3 linked regions of the Elephas maximus indicus genome follow. The protein of the gene in region 2 interacts with the protein of the main gene of each other region in a pairwise test. Links are inferred from orthologs where the notes say so. Each region holds a gene or a part of one and is shown on either strand. Other genes may lie near its edges.

Region 1 (6,871 bases), on a different chromosome or scaffold from region 2:
GTCATACAAGTCATGAGAAGCAAGAGTTCCTTGAAGGAGGGGAAAGTCAATTGTGTCAAATGCCTCTACTGAAAAAGGTCTACCAGAATTGGCACCATGGAATTCAGTGCTGTCCTTGGTAAGTCTACTGAGTGGTGGGGGTACAAGTCATATGGTATTGAGCTGCAGAATAAATAGAAGGTAAGGTGGTGCAGAGAGAAATAGACAAAATTAGGAGAACATTGCAGGTAGAGGAGCGGCATGAGCAAAGGCAAGGAGACCCCCCCCCCAAAAAACAAACTAGGATGTTCCAGGGACCTCAAGCAAATCAGAGTGGCTCGAGCTTTGAGGGTGAGGGGAGGAGGAACAGCTAAACACAATGCTGAGAAGGGAGACAGGATGTGAACAGCTTTGAATGCAAGGACAAAAAGATGGAAAACTATTCCTTGAGTACCTTCTATGTCCTTGGAGTTCTCACTTACATTATCTCACTTAATGGTCCTTAGGCCCTGTGGATAAGGTAAGCATTCTTATCCTCAGCATTTTTCCCAATGAGAAAATAGCTATTCAGGGAAGTTAAACAATTTATTCATGGTCAAAACCAAAATCAAACCCATTACCACTGAGTTAATTCCAACTCAGAGCAACCCTGTGGGACAGAGTAGAGCTACCCCATAAGGTTTCCAAGCCTGTAATCTTTATGGAAGCAGATTGCCACATCCTTCTCCTGAGGAGCTGCTGGTGGGCTGGACCTGCTGACATTTTGGTTAGCACTTAACCACTGCACAACCAGGGTTTCTTACTCAGGGTCATACATCCTATAAACAATGGTATCCCAATGTCCCTCTGATATAGGCAGAGCTGGGCAATCGCCCTGCCAAGTGATACATTAGATGGGGAGAGCAGGGTGGGGATCACTTTTACCCTGGTGGGTAGTGGTTAAGAGCTCGGCTGCTAATCAAAAGATTGGCAGTTCGAATCTACCTTTCGCTCCTTGGAAACCCTATGGGGCAGTTCTACTCTGTCCTATAGGGTCGCTGGGAGTCAAAATCAACTCCACGGCAACGGTGTTTTGTTTTATAGTGTCAGGGGAGCCCTGGTGGCACAGTGGTTAAGAGCTCAGCTGCTAACCAATAGGTCAGCAGTTCAAATCCACCAGACACTCCTTGGAAACCCTATGGGGCAGTTCTTTTCTGTCCTGTAGGGTAGCTATGAGTTGGAATCGACTGATGACAACTGGCTTGATTTTTGGTTTATAGTACAGGGTCACTATGAGTCAGAATCAACTCAACAGCAGTGGATTTGGTTTGGTTTGGTTTTAGTGTCAAGCAGATTAACCAAAGCAGAGAAAGCATAGTCCAAAAACCAAAGCCAAGTGCAACAATAGTTCAAGAGCCAAATGGGTCTTAGGTTGCCAGAGCCAAGAGAGCTTAAGTCTACAAAGTCAAAACCTCATTCAGTTAATCATAAGAGGTAGAGCTTGATCAAAGGCTGAGGAAGGCCAGGAAACTTCAGAAGTGGGCAAGCAAGCAGCTAATCCTCAAACCTCCAGCCTAGCTGACATTCAGTTCCTGGGGACTGGGAGACAGGCGAGAGGTGAAGTGATAGGCTTAGTAGAGTTGAAGGACTAAACAGGCCCTCTAGAGAATAACAAGATTGAAAATGTTTTGTAGAAAGGCTATTATAAAGCCTCTGTGAAGAACAGCCTTGAGATTTCAGATCATAGCACTTCCTTGCTCTTTTCCGTCTCTAGGCGCCGCAGGGAGAGGAGCTGCCGCCATGTCTGCCTGTTTGCGGTGGATGGCGGTGTGTAACTGCTCCAGTTTCCTGATCAAGGGAAACAAGCAGACTACAGCACCGAGCCCAGTACCCAGAAGGCCTGCAACTCTTTCCGCTACAACCAGCTGACACACCTCAAGACTGTGGGCGTGCAGCCGGCAGCCGAGGGCAAAGGGGTAGTGGAGGTACTGAAGCGCAGATGGGCCAGCAGAAGGCAGCCACCTCCTACGTACGACCACCATCAACAAAAACGCCTGAACCACACTCAGCACCATCTGGCACGTGATCTGCAGGAACAAGTACCTCCTGGATCTGTGCATGGCTGCCTGTGCATGGTGATGGTGCAGAGGAAGCGAACTGTCCCACCAGGGGTTCCTGAGCGCCCCCCATACCCCGCCCCAGAGCAATAAAAATAACTTTTCTCTGAAAAAAAAAAAAAAAAAGATAAGCTCCTCTTTGATCTTGATCTCCGGTGGGGAGTAAAGACAGTTTGGTGTCCGTCCGTAGATTCAACTCACCTCTGCAGAGTGGTACATGGATAGGACTGGCTGTACTTGAGGAGTTACGCTTAATTTGCACCCTAGAGGGGGAAAATATGAAGATTCCATAAGCCCAGTGCCGTCGAGTTGTTTCCGACTCATAGCGACCCTAAAAGACAGAGTAGCACTGCCCCACAGAGTTTCCAAGGAGCGCCTGGCGGATTCGAACTGCCAACCCTTTGGTTAGCAGCCGTAGCACTTAACCACTATGCCACCAGGGTTTCCGAAGATTCCATAGAAGAGCACAACATGCAGACCTGGATATTCAAGGAAGCAGGAGCTATAAGGTAATCCAAGGCAGGCCAGGTGCAAGTATTAAGTGCTTGCTTTATAAGTCTTTTCATGGTTATACTGCTTTGTGATTCATTGTTCCTTGTTTCCTTTGAGGCACACAGCCACTCTCTTAAGTAGGTATTATCCCCCACCCACCTCTCCGATTTTTTTTAATGGATGAGGAAATTAAGGCTGGGGCAAAGAAAGTGCTCAAAGTCATACCTTGGATGGAGGTCCGAATTGGAACGTGAATTCAGGATTTGCATTATGCAAATTCTGTGTCTCTTTCTTGCTGTGGGAGAGCAATTGGTCAGGGAAGGCTTCATGGAGGAGGTGGTGCTTGAACTGCCCAAGTGGCAGGGAACCAAGTACAAAAGGGTGACAGGGTCCTCTGGACAAAGGCACAGAGATGCAACACAGCACCACCAGTTAAGGAAACAAATCATAGTTCCTAGAACTGAGCACCCTAAGGACACCCTAAGGACAGGAGTCCAGCTTCTAGAATGGAGCCTGAGGCTTAGCAGGTGCTCAATAACTATTGGTTGAAAAAAACGAGCATCTGAAACATAGATTCTGTATAGGAGAGTAGCTGGTGGCCAGGCTAGGAAGTTGGGCAGGAGTTAGAAGATGCAGAGCCTTGTATACAACATGGAAGGTGGGAGAAGGAGGAGGAGAGAGGACCAGGTGCACCTGTTGTGACGAAATGGAGAACCAGCTGGAAGGTGGCTCCAGGAGAGCTAAGAGGAAAGCGTGAAGTAAGCCAGGGTAGGGAAGAGAAAGGACAGAGTCAAGAGACATTTAGAGGTCAGGCTCCACGAGGCCTGGCAACACCCTGAAGGAAAGGGGTGACATATACCCGTCTCCAGGCAGAAAGGCAAGAGCAATGGAGAGACCAAGAACGGTGGCTGTTCAGGGAACAAGTGTGGGTGGTGGACACCCCCACAGGGAGCCTGCAATCTCAGCAGTCACTCCGGGGGTTGCAGGCCGGAGAGGGAGGGGCCACCCGGACTGGAAAAGGCATTAGCAACCTGCCAGCGCCCGGTTAACAAAGGCGGGACTACAACTCCCAGCATGCTCGGCCCGGTGGGGTGACGGCGGGCGGTGGCTGCGCTGCACCGGACTGGCGGGCGCAGGACCTGGGTCGGCACCGGAGCCTGTCATCACCGAGGCTTCGCGGGGGTGCGGGGCCGGCGATGCCCGGCTCCCCGCCGCACAGCGGCCGCGCCCAGCTCGCGTCTCCGGCCCCGCGGCCCCGCCCCTGGCCCCACCCCAGCCGAGAGGCTTCGCCGGGGCCGCAGCGCGGCGGCAACATCACTCTCGCGCCGCTGCTCCGCCCCATCCCCTTCTGTTTTTCTCTCATTCTCGGGTGGCGGCGGCGCTGAAGGCGGAGGCAGAGGCAGCAGCAGCCGCCTTGGCTGCAATGAATGATCCCCCAGCCGAGGGGGAGGACTCCAGGTGAGCCTCTGCCCTCGGGAGGGCCGGGACCCCCCGCCGCCCAGGATCCGCTGCCTCCGCTATGGATCCCTAGAGCAAGGAGGAGGAGGAGAAGACAGCTCTGCTGCCCACCCCCATCCCATTTTCCTCGTCCTTTATCTCATTGTTGCGGTCGCTGTTTACCGCAGCGCTGCCTCTGCCCCAGCATGGGGCGGGCTCCGGGCACTGCCATTCGGCCGGTAGTGCTCCTGCTGTTCCCTCGGCTGCCCGGGGATTCTGCCTAATTCTACCCCCCTGGCCGGTGCAGCAACGACCGGAGAGCAGTGGAGGCCCGGACTGCAGCAGCGGTGGTGCCATCTCCCCGCATCCCCACCCTAGGAGGCTGCAGGCGGATTGAAGATCGACGCCTGGGGGCTGGGCTGGCCCCGCGGATCCGGACCTAGGGAGGAGGACAGAAAGACCGTCCAGGCTGCAGAGGGGAGCGGGGAGGGGCAGGAAGGGCAGAGCAGCAAAATGGCCAGTAAAACCAAGGCCAGCGAGGCCCTCAAGGTGGTGGCCCGGTGCCGCCCCCTCAGCCGGAAGGAGGAGGCTGCTGGTCACGAGCAGATCCTAACCATGGATGTGAAGCTGGGCCAGGTGACCCTGCGCAACCCCCGCGCTGCCCCGGGGGAGCTGCCCAAGACCTTCACATTTGACGCCGTGTATGACCCCAGCTCCAAGCAGGCAGACCTCTATGATGAAACTGTGAGGCCCCTGGTAGACTCGGTGCTTCAGGGTTTCAATGGTACCGTGTTTGCCTATGGGCAGACAGGCACTGGCAAGACCTACACCATGCAGGGCACCTGGGTGGAGCCCGAGCTCCGTGGGGTCATCCCCAATGCCTTTGAGCACATCTTCACCCACATCTCCCGCTCCCAGAACCAGCAGTACCTGGTCCGGGCCTCCTACCTGGAGATCTACCAGGAGGAGATTCGAGATCTGCTCTCCAAGGAGCCAGGCAAGAGGCTAGAGCTGAAGGAAAACCCTGAGACGGGTGTCTACATCAAGGACCTCTCCTCCTTTGTCACCAAGAATGTCAAGGAGATTGAACATGTGATGAACCTGGGGAACCAGACCCGAGCAGTGGGCAGCACACACATGAACGAGGTCAGCTCCCGCTCCCATGCTATCTTCCTCATCACGGTGGAGTGCAGTGAGCGTGGCTCTGATGGCCAGGACCACATCCGTGTGGGCAAGCTCAACCTGGTGGACCTGGCTGGCAGTGAGAGGCAGAACAAGGCAGGCCCCAACACAGCTGGAGGGACAGCCGCCCAGTCCTCGGGGGGCAGCGGTAGCAATGGAGGCAGTGGTGGTGGTGGAGAGAGGCCTAAGGAAGCCTCCAAGATCAACCTGTCACTGTCTGCCCTGGGCAACGTGATTGCTGCCTTGGCAGGCAATAGGAGCACACACATCCCCTACCGGGACTCCAAGCTCACCCGACTGCTCCAGGACTCTCTGGGGGGAAATGCCAAGACCATCATGGTGGCCACACTAGGGCCAGCTTCTCACAGCTATGATGAGAGCCTTTCCACCCTGCGCTTTGCCAACCGAGCGAAGAACATCAAGAACAAGCCTCGAGTGAATGAGGATCCCAAGGACACGCTGCTGCGGGAGTTCCAGGAAGAGATTGCCCGCCTCAAGGCCCAGCTGGAGAAAAGGGGGATGCTGGGGAAGCGGCCCCGGAGGAAGAGCAGCCGCAGGAAGAAGGCTGTGTCTGCCCCAGCAGGGTACCCTGAGGGGCCAGTGATCGAGGCCTGGGTGGCTGAAGAGGAGGATGACAACAACAACAACCACCGCCCGCCCCAGCCCATCCTGGAGTCAGCCTTGGAGAAGAACATGGAGAATTACCTACAGGAGCAGAAGGAGAGGCTGGAGGAGGAGAAGGCAGCCATCCAGGACGACCGCAGTCTGGTGAGTGAGGAGAAGCAGAAGCTGCTGGAGGAGAAGGAGAAGATGCTGGAGGACTTGTGGCGGGAGCAGCAGGCCACAGAGCTGCTTGCTGCCAAGTACAAGGTAAGGCCCCAGAGGGAGTGGTGGACTCGAGAAGTCCCCAGGGGTCTGTGGGTCTTTGAGGATCTGTGGCCCGGCATGCAGTGGGGTATCCTCCCTCAACATCACACACTGCTTTCCTGCCAAATGTACTCCTGGAGCAGCCAGGCAGATTCCTGTGATACCAGACTGACAGGCAGAGCCTCCAGGGAGGGCTTGGAGGGGACACACACACACACACTAAGCAGAGCAGAGCAGACAGGTGGTCTCAAGCCAAAGAGCTTGGGTGGTGACCTGCTGCCTGTCAGTCTCTAGTGGTAGCCCCAGTATGAGGTCAATGGGATGGCCAGGCTCATCCTCTCATGAGTGGGGGTTCTCCTGACTAGCCTTCTCCCCTGTACCTTCCTTCCTCTACTGCATCTTCAGACCTGACATCATTTTAATGATATCTGACATTTGGATAGCACCTCACAGTTTACAAAATGTCCCCACGTACATGATCTCATCTGATCCTTAGAACAGCCATCCAGGTTGGCCGTTCTTACACCTCCATTTTACAGATGAAGGATTAAGACTCAGAGAGTGACAGGACGAAGGGTCCATTTTACAAGGTGGCAGGGCTGAGCTGGAACCTGTAGGCCTCATGTTTGTTCAGCTCTTGGGTGGCAGAATGGAACCATGAGTGGATCCTGTTCCCTGTGAAAATTGTCCACTGGGCCCATGTGTGGGGCCCATTGCTTTGTGTCATGGGAAGGAGATTCAAAGGGATCACACAGGAGGTAGGGTAGAAAGAGCACCAGCATGTATAATGGAGACCTGGAGTCTAGTCCTAGCCATTC
Region 2 (7,653 bases):
GGCTGGAGGTTCAAATTCACCCAGAGGTGTCTTGAAAGAAAGGCCTGGCAATCTACTTCTGAAAAATCAGCCATTGAAAACCCTATGGAGCACAACTCTACTTTGATACACATGGGGTCATCATGAGTCAGAATCAAATGACAGCAACTGGTCTGTATTAGTATGATGTACCATGATCTATAATCTAACACAGGCCTGCTATGAACCATGGCTTAGCCTGATAACTTCAGTGCAGCCAGTGACTGAGAATACAGCTGAGTTCTAATTCTAGCTCTACACTTAATAACTATGTGACCTTGGGAAAAAGCTGGGTGACCGTGAACCTTAGCTTTGCCATAGGGAAAATGAGGATTGTAACACCCACCTCATTTTGGGGGAGTATGTTATCAAAGGAATTCATAATAGAGTGCCTAACACATTATAAATTTATAAAAAATTGCAGGTATTTTTATTCCTGGAAACCCTGGTAGCATAGCGGTTAAGAGCTACAGCTGCTAACCAAAAGGTTGGCCTTTCAAATCCACCAGGCGCTCCTTGGAAATCATATGGGGCAGTTCTACTCTGTCCTATAGGGTTGCTATGAGTCGGAATCAACTCAACAGCAACGGGTTTGGATTTTTTTGGTATTGTTATTCCCTATTAGAAACTAATGTCTTATATTTGTGTGGCAACTCAGTCTACAGGGTGCTTTCAGATCTTTTACCTCATTTGATCCTCACAGCACCTCTTTAAGTACAAAAGGCCATAATTACTATTCCCATTTTTCTTTTATCTTTTTTTAAACAGATGAGAAAAGTGAGGCTCAAGGTCACACTGCCCAGAAAGGAGGCGCTAGCTCAGCTGCTAACCAAAAGGTCAACAGTTCGAATCCACTAGCCTCTCCTTGGAAACCCTATGGGGAAGTTCTACTCTGTCCTATAGGGTCGCTATGATTTAGAATCAACTCCATGGCAATGGGTTTGCTTTGGCTTTTTTGGTTGTCCAGGGCTCTTTTGCTTGGTGGCACAGATTCTCAACCGTGACCTCAAAACAAAAAAACCTGTTGTCACAGAATCAATTCTGACTCCTAGTGACCCTATAGGACACAGTAGAACTGCTGGAGCCCACCAGCTGCTCCCGGGAGAAAGATGTGACAGTCTACTTCTGCAAAGATTAAGTGCCCCCAAATGACTGCATTTACAGCCTCTGCCCCTGAATGTGATAAAACTGAATTGCTTTTCAACTATCCTGCTATTCATACTTTAATCGACTCAAACTGATATTTCCACATGACTTCAAATTATTTTGCTTTAGAAAAAATAACAGCTTAGGAGTTTTGTTTTGTTTATTTGAGTGTGGTAAAAGTAAATTTTTTTGTTTTGTTTTTTGTTTATTTGAGAGCTTACTGTATATCTCCAGCACTGGGCTAGGTGTTCCACCTAGTCATTTCATTGAAACCTCACAAACCCTATGAGGGAGGTACGGTCAGAGTGCCCATTTAACAAATAAGGAAATTGAGGCACAGGAAGTCCAGGATTGGAATGTAGGCAAACTGTCTCCAAACACCAGTTATTAGGACATTGGTGCTGCCCAACTGGAGCTCTGGTGGCACAGTGGTTAAGAGCTCTGCTGCTAGCCAAAAATTCAGCAGTTTGAATCCACTAGCCTCTCCTTGGAAACACTACCGGGCAAGCTCCTACGTGATCACCATGAGTCGGAATCAACTCGATGGCAATGGGTCTGGTATGGTTTGGCTGTCCAACTGACATTTGTGAAACAGGTATACATTCAAAGTGCTTTCACACACACCAATCTATGAGCCACGGAGGGCAGGTATTAGCTCTCTCCTTTTACATCTGAGGAAACCCAGGCTCAGAGATGTTACGTGACTCATGACTCGTGTAAAGTTCTTTCCTGATCCAGCAAAACCACCACGCAGCTCTTTTGACTCTAAATCTCCGGAGATCCTCAAATTCCTTTGCATCTATTTGAAGAGTGAGACGTCCACAAGCCCGGTCATTCTTGAAAAGCAACCATCCACCTTAACGACTTCAGGGTTATCACTAGAGTTGACAGTGGAAACGGACACTGTCACACGCGGGCGGAGGGAGGAGCGTGGGGGACAGTGAAAGAACCTCAGATCCTGGCGTTACCGCCTCGAAATCGGAAGTGGGCGGTGAAATCACTGACAGAGCAGGCCCTTGGGGCGGTGCCAGCGCCGCATTCCTCCTTCCACCCCCACCTCCTCCCTCCAGGTTCCCGGCGGGACCGGCGAGAGCGCGCCCCGTGCGCGCGGAGGAGGGCCCGTCGGATCCGGCCGCGCGCGTCTGCCAGCGGCGAGTGCGGGGCGCCAGCGAAGGGCGCGCTCAGGCCGCGGCGGTGCCTGTGAAGGAGCGAAACACAAACTCGCCCCTGTACACGTCGGACACGCCTCGCCGCGGTACTAGCGGGCCTGACGCGCCGTCGTACCCGGGCCTCCGCTTCGCCCTGAGCGCACACATACTGGTCCGGCGCGGGGCGCGGCACGCGGGACCAAGTTCTCCTCCCACCCTCCCTCGAGAGGGCTGAACGGAACCCGAGTTAGCAGGGAGCACCCGGCCCGCATGACTCCCTCGGCGGTCACGACGCGCTCTCCGACTCTTCCCTCCGGGGTCCCTCCTTGGGCCCAGCCACGGGGCACGCGGAGGGGTCGCTTGGGGAACCGCCCGGGGCCGGCCCGCCGCTCTCCTACCTGCGCCTTGGCTCCCGGAGCCGGGTCGCTCCCAGCGCCCGGCCCAGCCACCCGGGGCGCCCGGGGGACCCCCGCCCAGCATGGCCCGGCCGCGCCGCCCCGTCGCTTCCTCTCTGCTGCCAGCGGCCGCGGGGGTGGGCTCCAGGTCGCCGGCTCCTCCTCCTCGACCTCTTCCTCCTCCGCCCCGGCTCCCCCAGAGACCCAAGCCGAGCTGGGAGGGAAGTGGGGAAAGGGCGGCCAAAGAAGGGGAGCCGGCTTCCTCCTCTACGGCCAGCGGCATCCTGCCCAGCCCTCGTCCCCACACACACCCACACTCACGCAGAATGCGGCAGCGGGCGCGCCGGACCAGGGCCCAGCCCTTCTCCCTGTACCTGGATGGAAAACTCCCTTTTTACTCTCGCTCAGTTTCTGGAGGAAGACAAGTGGGGAAGTGCGCTGGGAGGACGGGTGTCACAGCGAAGGAGAAGCTGTGAGGCCCTAAGTGTACACGAGGGCGCCCCCAGATGCATGAGTGGGAGTCGATGGATGAATGAGAGAACTAACTTATACAAAAAAAAAAGGTGAGGGGAAAAGGGAGAGATGCGAGGTGACACTAGGAAAGGTATCAGTGGTAGCAGCTGTTCGAAGAATGAGCTGTGAGTCCACGTTCAACACTAGATTGGTTGCTTCCAGATCCGTGACCCAATGTAAGGCGGTTCCGTTCCAGGATGATAATCCTTGCCAAGCTCTTAGACCAGCTACACTCACCTCCTTCGCTGCTTCTCTTTGACTGATTCAAAGAGGCTGTTGCAGCACCTTTATGTAGCACCCGCTACAGGACAGTGGGAGCAAAGAAGTGCCAGAAATGGTTTCTTGCTCTTCAGAGCTTACCTCCGGTCAGGAAGACGAAACATGTTCCTGTAAAAAATAGCATCATACAACAGAATATGCCAAGTGCCGGGGGCTTAGCACAAAGGTGTTGCAGAAGTTCAGAAGTGGGAGAGTGTGTGGTGAAGAGAAAGGGTCAGTAAGACTTCTGGAGGGATGGGAAGGATCTTGCTAGAATTAAAGGAGGGCTAAGGTCCCTTTTTTTTTTTTTTAAGGTCCCTTCAATGGTAAGAATTTTGTGAGCGAAAACGCGTTGTTGTTAGGTGCGGTGGAGTCGGTTCCGACTCATAGTGACCCCATGCACAACGGAACGAAACACTGCCAGGTCCTGTGCCACCCTTACAATGGTTGCTATGCTGAAGGCCATTGTTGCAGCCACTGTGTCAGTCCACCTTGTTGAGTCTTTTCCACTTTCCCGCTGACACTGTACTTTACCAAGCACGATGTCCTTCTCCAAAGTATGTAAGACACGGTCTTGCCATCCTTGCTTTTAAGGATCATTCTGGTTGTACTTCTTCCAAGACAGATTTGTTCATTCTTTTGGCAGTATTATATATTCAATGTTCTCTGCCAACGCCACAATTCAAAGGCATCAGTTCTTCTTCGGTCTTCTTTATTCATTCTCCAGCTTTCACATGCATATGATGTGATTGAAAATACCATGGCTTGGGTCAGTCACCCCTTAGTCTTCAAGGTGACATCTTTGCTTTTCAACACTTTAAAGAGGTTGTTTGCAGTAGATTTGCCCAACGCAATGCGTCTTCTGATTTCTTGACTGCTGCTTCCATGAGTGTTGATCGTAGATCCAAGTAAAATGAAATTCTTGACTTCAATCTTTTCTCCATTTATCATGATATTGCTTGTTAGTCCAGTTGTGAGGATTTTTGTTTTCTTTACGTTGCGGTCTAATCCATACTGAAGGCTGTGGACTTTGATCTTCATTAATGAGGGCTTCAAGTCCTCTTCACTTTCAGCAAGCAAGGTTGTGCCACCTGCATAACGCAGGGGGTTAATGAGTCTTCCTCCAATCCTGATGCCCCATTCTTCTTCATATAGTCCAGCTTCTTGGATTATTTGCTTAGCATACAGATTGAATAGGTATGGTAAAAGAATACAGCCCTGACACACACCTTTCCTGACTTTAAACCACTCAGTATCCCCTTGTTCTGACTGAACAACTGCCTCTTGATCTCTGTATGTGTTCCTTATGAGCACAATCAAGTGTTCTGGAATTCCCATTCTCCGCAGTGTTATCCGTAGTTTGTTATGATCCACACAGTCGAATGCCTTTGCATAGTCAATAAAACACAGGTAAACATCCTTCTGGTAGTCTCTGCTTTCAGCCAGGATCCATCTGACATCAGCAATGATATCCCTGGTTCCACATCCTCTTCTGGATCCAGCCTGAATTTCTGGTGGTTCCCTGTTGATACACTGTTGCAGTGGCTTTTGAATGCTCTTCAGCAGAATTTTGCTTGCATGTGATATTAATGATATTGTTCTATAATTTCCACATTCGGTTGGATCACCTTTCTTGGGAATAGGCATAAATATAGATCTATTCCAGTCAGTTGGCAAGGTAGCTGACTTCCATGTTTCTTGGCATAAACGAGTGAGCATTTCCAGCACAGCATCTATTTGTTGAAACATCTCAGTTGATATTCCATCAATTCCTAGAGCCTTGTTTTTTGCCAATGCCTTCAGAGCAGCTCAGACTTCTTCCTTCAGTACCATCGGTTCCTGATCATATGCCAGCTCTTGAAATGGTTGAACATCGACTAATTCTTTTTGGTATAATGACTCTGTGTATTCCTCCCATCTTCTTTTGATGCTTCCTGCGTCACTTAATATTTTCCCCATAGAATCCTTCACTATTGCAACTTGAGGCTTGAATTTTTTCTTCAGTTCTTTCAGCTTGAGAAACACCGAGCGTGTTCTTCCCTTTTGGTTTTCTGTCTCCAGGTCTTTGCAAATGTCTTCATAATACTTTACTTTGTCTTCTCGACCCACTCTTTGAAATCTTCTGTTCAGTTCTTTTACTTCATCATTTCTTCATTTTGCTTTAGCTGCTTGATGTTCAAGAGCAAGTTTCAGAGTCTCCTCTGACATCTATCTTGGTCTTTTCTTTCTTCCCTGTCTTTTCAAGGACCTCTTGCTTTCTTCATGTTTGATGTCCTTGATGTCATTCCACAACTCGTCTGGTCTTTGATCATTAGTGTTCAACGTGTCAAACCTATTCTTGAGATGGCCTCTAAATTCAAGTGCGATATACACAAGGTCATATTTTGGCTCTCGTGGACTTGCTCTGATTTTCTTCAGTTTCAGCTTCAACTTGCATATAAGCAATTGATGGTCCGTTTTCACAGTCGGCCCCTGGCCTTGTTCTGACTGATGATATTGAGCATTTCCATAATCTCTTTCCACAGATATAGTTGATTTGATTCCCACGTGTTCCATCTAGCAAGGTCCATGTGTATAAAAAAAAAAAAATAGTCACCGTTAATGTTGGTGAAAGAAGGTATTTGCAAGGAAGAAGTCGTTGGTCTTGCAAAATTCTATCATTCGATCTCCAGCATTGTTTCTATCACCAAGGCCATCTTTTCCAACTATACATCCTTCCTCTTTGTTTCCAACTTTAGCATTCCAATCACCGGTAATTATCAATGCATCCTGATTGCGTGTTCAATCAATTTCAGATTGCAGAAGCTGATAAAAATCTTCAATTTCTTCATCTTTGGCCTTAGTAGTTAGTGCATAAATTTGAATAATAGTCATATTAACTGGTTTTCCTTGTAGGTGTATGGATATTATCCTATCACTGACGGCGTTGTACTTCAGGATAAATCTTGAAATGTTCTTTCTGATGATGAATGCAACACCATTCCTCTTCAAGTTGTATTCCTGGCATAACAGACTAAATGACTGTCCGATTCAAAATGGCCAATACCAGTCCATTTCAGCTCACTAATGCCTAGGATATCAATGTTTGTGCATTCCATTTCATTTTTAACAATTTCAAGTTTTCCTAGGCTCATACTTCATACATTCCATGTTCTGATTATTAATGGATGTTTGCAGCTGTTTCTTCTTATTTTGAGTCGTGCCACATCAGCAGATGAAGGTCCCGAAAGCTTTACTCCATCCGTGTCATTAAGGTCGACTCTACTTTGAAGGGGCAGCTCTTCCCCAGTCATCTTTTGAGTGCCTTCCAACCTGGGGGGCTCATCTTCCGGCACTATATCAGACAATGTTCTGCTGCTATTCATAAGGTTTTCACTGGCTAATGCTTTTCAGAAGTAGACTGCCGGGTCCTTCTTCCTATTCTGTCTTAGTCTGGAAGCTCAGCTGAAATCTGTCCTCCATGGGTGACCCTGCTGGTATCTGAATACCAGTGGCATAGCTTCCAGCATCACTGCAATACACAAGCCCCTACGGTACAACAAACTGACAGACTCATGGGGGTGAAAACCCATAGCTGTGCTTAAAAGTTGGTGTGTTATGGGACAGAATGAATGTGAGCATGCTTGATTGGGCTTAGGAATATGGGCTTGTCACTTTTGGGTGACTTATTCTTAATTTGGGGCCCACAGACCCCTGTAGAGGTCCATGGATGATTTCGGTGGTTCATGGAACCCTTGAAAATATGTGCAAAATTTTGTTTCCATCTGTTTTTTATTTGTCTTTTAAGATAACTTTAATCAACTTATCAAAGAGTTTGTGACATAAGAAGGGTTAAGATCTACATCCGTAGACAGTAAGAAGCTATGGAAGGTTTTGGGGCAGATGAGTGATATTAAAGGAAAACCTGGTGAGTGATATTACTACCACTAAAATGACAAGTATTTATTGACACATACTATGTATAACAGACCAGGTCAAGCTCTGGAGACACAAAGGCATATAATGTGACAAAAGTCTGAAGAAGGGTACCTTGCAACAAGATATAGGGAAATTCTGAAAAACCACCAGAATATACGGTCATTTACCGTAGGTGTATGTGTCATTTACCATAGGAGTACATGGTCATTTATTATAGCCAGGTGATTCTAAAGTTCAGTCGGGGTTAAGGACCACCA
Region 3 (7,165 bases), on a different chromosome or scaffold from region 2:
GGGCATTCGTCCATTCCACTCCACCGCATTGGGATTGGTCATTTGAGACAATTCTCAGCCCTCCAGGCCCACTTTAAAATCTGAAGCCTTTTGTCTGAACAGGTTCCCTTCAGGGAAACAGCTTACAGAGCTGGCAAAGCTTAAAATACAGCCAAGGTTGTGTCAACAAGACCAGGAAGTTCTGCCCTCCCAGCTGTCCCGTAAGTCCTGAGGGCTAACTCTCCAGCCCCACCCCAATGGGTTACTGGTAAGAGAAACCCTAAGAGTTCAGTTCCAGAAAAACACCCAGCCAGCTGTTGGGCTCAAGCCCAACTCTTTGCCTGAAACTCGGGGACCCAATGGAAACCATCACCTTCCATGACCCACCCCACCCAAACAGCCTATCAAACCTGTGATCCTCAGTAATGATCTCACCCACCCCTGGACCCCATGAAGGACCAGAACCCACTCCTGGAAGGGTTAAGTGAATCATTTTAGCCACAAATCAAAAAAACTTACGATACACAGCACATCTACATAAGTACTTTCACTACAAAATAATTTATTACAACACAGCTTCAGCGCAAGCCTCCTATATACAAGCACCCGTTCCTGACTACCCTAGGGAATCCCTTTTCTTCCCCCTGGCCCTGCGGACCTCTTCTATCAAGTCTTTCAGATACTGGATCTCCTTGGCCAGAGAATCCGCCCTCTCCTTCAAAGCCTCGTTTTTCTTTTCTAGCTCCTTACACTCATCCGTGAGGGCCTCCTGCTCTGCCCTCTTTTTCTGACGGTACCTAGTGGCTGCTGTCTTGTTCTGCTCCATTTTTTTCAGTTTCTTATCCAATTTCTCTCCCTTTACTTTTGCTGCTACCACCTTCTCTCTAGGAGGATCATAAGGTTTGGGGCGAGCAGAGCCACCGAGAGCAGGTGGAGACAGCAGGCTCCTATCTGGAGAGCCCCCAGAGGTGGAGGGGCTGTGCTGGGGAGATCCTGGACAGGATTCAGGGCTCATGCAGATGCCACTGTCATTATCTGAAGGGGCCTCCTCCTCTTTTATGCACTGAGGGACCGCGGTAACATACAGAAAAGAATCTGCCTTTCTATCTCCTTCGGAAATATCCACTTCACTGCCGAGCTCTAAACTAAAAGAATGGTCTGGAGTGGAGGCCAGGACTCCGGGGCAATGGGGCAGAGGTTGCAGGAAGGTCAATGGGGCAACCTGGTCAGTTTGGGGAAAACTTTCTGGGAGATGACCAATTGGGTTCAATGTCTGGGGGGGCTCATTCGTCTCCTGGACTAAAGGGTCTAAGAGATCACAGGTGTCATCCAACGTGGCCAAAAGCTCGGCTGGCATAATTTCCAGGTCGTCTAGACTCAATAGGGCATCGAAGTCAAACTCCTTCAGATCCATTTTCTCCACCATCCAATCTGTTCCGGAGAAGGCATCCTCTACAAGACACAAAAAAGTGGCATCAACTCTCCCCAAGCACAAGTGACCCAGACCACGCCGGGGGATAAGGACAGCCACTCACCCTTGCCGTTGTCTGAGGCATCGACCAACCCGTCCACAGCCAGCCATTCGGAGGAGCCTGCCTTAGCCTTGTCCCTGGAGAACCCATGCGCTCTGCAGTGCTTGGCCACCTCCAGGTAGTCGTCTAAGAGACCTAGGGTTTCTTCAACCCCCAAACCCGACTGGTCGAAGGGGGACATCAAGTCCCCCACCAACACCTCGCTGCTCAGGAAGCTCATCTCGGCCATAACGCGGGGCCTTGCTGAAATCGAGGAATGTGCTTAATTCGAAGGTGTCTCTGTCGGTTACAGCAATGCTGCTGCTGAATGCCGTGAGAAGCCTGCAAGGAGCCGGGAACGAAGGCCCATCAGACACGGGCTCGTCTGGGAACCTCATCGTTCTGCCCTGAGACAGGACGGCCGCGTGGGAAGCCCGCTTGGCTTTGGAGAGTGGGGCGCACGTGGCCTCGGAGGCACCGAGCACCCTTGGCTGCGTCCCGGCTCAGCCGGCCCCGCCGCGGGGTGAAGGCCCTCTCCGTGCTGCCCAAATACGGCCGCCGCCCCGCCCCGGGGAAGGCGCTCCCCGCGCTGCCCAAATCCGGCCACGGCGCCCCGCCCCGGGGAAGGCGCTCCCCGCGCTGCCCAAATCCGGCCACGGCGCCCCGCCCCGGGGAAGGCGCTCCCCGCGCTGCCCAAATCCGGCCACGGCGCCCCGCCCCGGGGAAGGCGCTCCCCGCGCTGCCCAAATCCGGCCACGGCGCCCCCGCCGCGCCCCGCCCCGCCCCGCCGCCGCCATCTTGGCTCCTGCCACGTTCGCCGGCCGACGGCGCCGGCCGCTCCCCCCGACCCAGGGCGCCGGCGTCTCGGGGACACCCAGCAGGGCTCCCGCGGCGCCGGCGCCTCGTAAAACAGCTTCCTGCCCCCGCGACGCCGCCCGGCCCCAGGACCGCGCCCGGCCCAGCCACGTCCGCCCGGCCCGGGACGCCCGGCCAGCGGGCCCCACCCCGGTACTTACGCCATGGCTTAAGCCGCTGGGGGGTGCCGCTGCAGAGCCTGGTGCTGCTGCCGCCGCTGCAATGGCCAACGCTGCCGCAGGCACTGCTGCCTCTAATACGCCATGACGGCTGCGGACCCTGCGGGCGGGGAGGGAAGGCGCGGGCTACGTCTCTGCTCTACATCTGAAGGCGGGAGGAGAAATGGCCGCCGCGCCCTCGCGGGCCCTTTATACACGCCGGCGCGGGCCGCACCACAGTCATGTTCCTCCGCCCTGGCCACGTGACCTTCGCCTCTTACCTCCGAGGTTTCGCCTATCTGACTCCCTGATCTTTTCCAACCCACGGTCTTTAGGTCCAGGACGTAACTGTAAAAAGAAAATGAGCTATTCTCAAGGCCTCGCGAAAAGAAAGAGGCGCACTACTTTACAAGGCTGCTAAGATTAGACGCTCGGCGCCCCGGAGAGCGGAGGAATCCCTCGGTCGCCTCGCTTCCGGAGTCAGCCGAGGGGCGGGGACAGAAGCCTCTCATCCCAAGCCGCCCGGTTATCGCGCGAGATGCTGGCGGGAGCGCGCGTCGAGCTGATTGGGCCTGGCATGGAGAGTTACACGTGTCTCGGGCTCCCATTGGATCAGGACGAGGTGGGCGGGCTGCTCCGTGACGTAGCCCAGGCCCGCGCGGGAAGGGCCAGAGCTGTCAGCGCGGTTCCCGCCGCCGGCCTCGGCCCTTCGCTGCCCCTTCTCGGAGACGCGCGGCTGGGGCGGCCTCTCAGTCCGGGCCGCCCAGCACCCACGACCGCGCCAGCACCCGTCTCCGGGCAGCTGTAGCCCAGGGCGCCCCAAACAGTGGCATTAGGGCCCGGCCCCTTCCCTTCCTCATTGACGTGACGAAACAACGCCAGGCCGGGCTCTTTGTCCCCAAGTTCCTCCGCCCATCTTTTGTTCTGTTTGTACACATGGGGTTGACTTCCCCCCTGGAAGGGCCCTGGAAGTTACCTAGTGCAACCCTTTATCTTGCCGAGCGATCCCACACGGACAGCTGACTGTCCGCTAGAGATAACCACTAATAGCTAATAAAATTGCCCCCAGAAATAATGGGGAGCCTTGTTGCTACAGCAAAGAAAAACGGCAAACAAAATGTTAACTGCAATAAAAATGCTTTGAGGCAATGACATGAATTCAAGAGAGACAAGAGCACCCGGGGCCGCGGGCATCATTCACTGACTGGCTTCTGGTGGGTCCTCTGCGGGCTCCGAGGGAGTCCCTAGGATAAAACTATGTCAAAAGGGAAATGTCATTACATATGTGCATTCACTACTGCAAGCCCTCCAGTAGCTGAGAGGGGCGGGGAGAGGGCGCTAAATCTTCGGACCTCAGTTGGGAGATCACTAGACCCACGCCCCCCTACCGTCGAGGCCCAGCGCGAAGTCCTCACCCTCAACTCCTTGTGCGTAACTTTATCGCCCAACCTGTGTTTTACAATATCCATTCTGCTAAACTGTGTTTGCCACTCATTTAAAAGTATGCAGTCAAGCAGGAATTTCTTCCAGTTTATGCAGATGCAATTCCTCTGAGAACACGGGGAGACTTTATTCACCTGGCATCTCTCGCACTAGGATAGTTTCAGTAACTCCCAGTTCTGTCACTCCCAAGCATGACCAACTTCCCACGAAGTCATCCTAGTGACCCTGTGAGGAGAGAAGCTTGAGAACCATGTCCCTTTGCTGGGGGTTGGTGTGTTTGGGTGCGGCTGTCTCAGTCTGGGCCAGCGACTTGCTCTCTATGATGGAGCTGTAGAGTGCTGGGAAACCTCCCAACCGTGCCCTCATCCCCTGCCTGCAGCAGAGGCCTGGTTTCCTCCTCCATTCATCAGTGTGCCATATAGTTATTTCTACCACGGCTATGATGTCAAAAAAAAAAAAAAAACACTTGGGAAGCACTGTCCTGGAGAACTACAGACCATTTTTTGACTTGATTCAATCTAGCCCAACAAATTTTAAACAATACTAAACTGAGGCCTAACAGGATGAGGCATCTTGCCCAGTCACCCAGCTCCCACTAGAGGCAGTATGTAGTTTTTTTTTTTTAAGTTGCTATCAAGTCAATTGATGTGTGTCAATGGATGATTTTTCAAAGTAAGCCTTTCTTCTGAGGCACCTCAGGGTGGGCTTGAATCTCCAACCATTCAGTTAGCAGCCAAGCGCATTAACCATTCCCACCACCCACGGACTCCAGGGTAGGGGTTAAAACCCGAAAAATCAAACCTGTTGCCATCGATTCTGACTCCCAGCAACCCTTTAGAACAGAGTAGAACCACCCCATAGCGTTCCCAAGGAGCGCCTGGTGGATTTGAACTGCCGACCTTTTGGTTAGCAGCCGTAGCTCTTAACCACTATGCCACCAGGGTTTCCGGGTGGGGTTAGAAGACAGATTTGGGAGCCAAACCGAAAAGAATCCTGGCTCTACTATTACCTGGGACACTTTGGCTAAATGACTTAACCTCTGTGAGCCTCAATTTCCTCGTCTGTAAAATGAGGCTGCTGATGGTACCTATCCTCTGAGGATGAAATGAGGTCATACAGGTAAAGTACGTGCCTGCTTCACGGTCAGTGCTCAGTAAATGGTTGCTATTCTTACTATTAGAACTCAGGTCTTGGGATCCTGACCTCCCAGTCTCTCTGCCCTTATCTCCATTGTATCATCCTGCTTCCTCAGGGGACTTCACTATTCTTTACTGACAGATGAAACCAAGGACTATTTTTGAAGCATCAGAGATATGCAAGGAATACTAGATGCTGGGATAAATGAGTGGTTCTTCCTTCCCCTTGGGAACCATGAGTGCTGAAATACAGGAAGTTGTCGAAACTTTCAGGCAAAGCCAGCGAGAGCCCCTGAGCCCTTATACAATCTTCTAAAGAGTAACTAAGGGCCCCTGGGGAGTGTCCTCCTCTTGCTCTATCACAAGACTTCTCGTTGCCTCCGGCCTGATGATCATGCAGGTGCCTGAGACTTAAGTGAGGCACCCTAGTGGCGTGGTACAGTGGTTAAAGCACTCAGCTGCTAACCCAAAGGTTGGTGGTCTGGACCCACCAGCTGCTCCATGGGAGAAAGATGGGACAGGCTGCTTCTGCAAAGATTTACAGCCTAGGAAACCTTATGAGGCAGTTCTACTCTGTCCTACTGAGTTGCTATAAGCCAGAATTGACTTGACGGCAATGAGTTTGGTTTTGAATTTACTGAACACTGCCCTAGTTTTGGCACTGCAGAGGCCATGGCAGAATGACTCCGGTGGCAGCCTGTCCCATCCATTCTATTACAGAGACCCAGGTCAAGTCCTTCAAAGGTTCTCACTGAAAATGGAGACCCAGTTCCACTCCCAGAGGAAAATGTTTCCTGCCACGCACACAAGTCAAAGCTGTTGCAAAGTTTTATTTTCTTCTTCCCATGCTGTGGAAGGACATCATGTTCCCCAGCTGTATTTCCTCCCTCAAGGAGAAAAATAGTGATTCTCTGGGCCTCAAGGCTAAGCTGTTCCTGCATGGACCTGGCCAAGCCAGGACAGAAAGACTGGTGATAGGCTCCAGACTGACCAGCTATACGTATCAAATGCACTGAAGGAGAGCCAAGTGACTACAAGGCAAGTTGTGGACTTGGTCTCAGGACCAAGAATTTAAAGTCACAATGAAAAAGTAAACACCAACCTGACTGTAGTTACCCGAGAATAACCCCTGGTATTTTGGTCACTGTGTTAGTCCAGCAGTGTCTAACAGGGCTACAGCCTCACAGCCCAGTGCAGGGTCAGCCTTTGCCTAAATATCTCTTACCCTGTCTGTTAACTTCAGGAAGGAAGGGCAGAGCTCTAGCAAATCCTCTGAGTGAAGTTCACAGCCAGGGCCCTAGTCCTAAGGACCTTAGCAGAGCAATCTGGACACATGCAAGGTTCCCCACCTGGAAAATCATCTGCAGGGACCCTCCAGGGCCCTTTGATCCTAAACCTGATTCCTCATCAAAACCACTTGAGCTCTCAGCTTGAGTGGAGAACACGGGAGCAAAATCAGCTAATCTGGCGTGTGAACACAAGTTTACCAAACATAAACTTTGACATTAATTTATTAAAGAAAAAAGCCCCAACCAATTGTAAAAAGAAAGAAAGATATCCACTGTTCTGAGCTCATTTTTTAAGAAGGGGCAACAAGGAAGAACCAAAAAAACCTTTGATAGGGTTTTCAGGATAATAACGAGTGTCTTTTTAAGCCTGAGGCTCACTGTGTGGTTTGCTAACCTAAATGGTGCACAAACCCTCCAGACAGCAGGAGCAGATTCTGTTACTTCAGGCAAAGATAGGGGTTACTGAATAAGGAGGCAGAGCAGGGGAAAGCCACTACCATCTGTAACTAAAGTTTGAAAAAACAAACAAGGCAGAACAACGTCGCCCTCTTCCATCCAAGAATCTCAAAACGCTTAACCATCTTCCACCTTTTATGAGGAGGAAAATGGCAGCAAAGAGCGGCTTGCCCAGTCCCAATCAGCAAACCCTCCAGAACAGGCCAGAAGTGCCAGTGGGTGGAAATTCTCAGGACTTCTAAGAGGTTCTTGCTCGTAAAGTGACAAAACTACGGTGTTTGATTTTGTGGCTGACGTGGTTAGATGACAGAGGCATTCTCAGAAAGGCGCTCTTTGTG

What was found.
Region 1: the proteins of DISC1 (region 2) and KIF3C interact in binary tests that used the Homo sapiens proteins (3 or more experiments, as listed by UniProt). The link is inferred for Elephas maximus indicus from reciprocal best matches to the Homo sapiens genes DISC1 and KIF3C.
Region 3: the proteins of DISC1 (region 2) and ATF4 interact in binary tests that used the Homo sapiens proteins (3 or more experiments, as listed by UniProt). The link is inferred for Elephas maximus indicus from reciprocal best matches to the Homo sapiens genes DISC1 and ATF4.

What each region holds. Positions count from the first base shown.
Region 1 is NC_064830.1:44,033,709-44,040,579, reverse strand, and holds the start of KIF3C (kinesin-like protein KIF3C), read left to right. Parts: upstream 1-3,858; 5' UTR 3,859-4,517; coding exon 4,518-6,056; intron 6,057-6,871.
Region 2 is NC_064842.1:32,964,906-32,972,558, forward strand, and holds the start of DISC1 (disrupted in schizophrenia 1 protein), read right to left. Parts: upstream 3,019-7,653; 5' UTR 2,991-3,018; coding exon 2,711-2,990; intron 1-2,710. UniProt on the Homo sapiens protein: Involved in the regulation of multiple aspects of embryonic and adult neurogenesis. Required for neural progenitor proliferation in the ventrical/subventrical zone during embryonic brain development and in the adult dentate gyrus of the hippocampus.
Region 3 is NC_064822.1:183,485,911-183,493,075, reverse strand, and holds ATF4 (cyclic AMP-dependent transcription factor ATF-4), read right to left. Parts: upstream 2,696-7,165; 5' UTR 2,507-2,695; intron 1,833-2,506; 5' UTR 1,741-1,832; coding exon 1,515-1,740; intron 1,432-1,514; coding exon 596-1,431; 3' UTR 514-595; downstream 1-513. UniProt on the Homo sapiens protein: Transcription factor that binds the cAMP response element (CRE) (consensus: 5'-GTGACGT[AC][AG]-3') and displays two biological functions, as regulator of metabolic and redox processes under normal cellular conditions, and as master transcription factor during integrated stress response (ISR).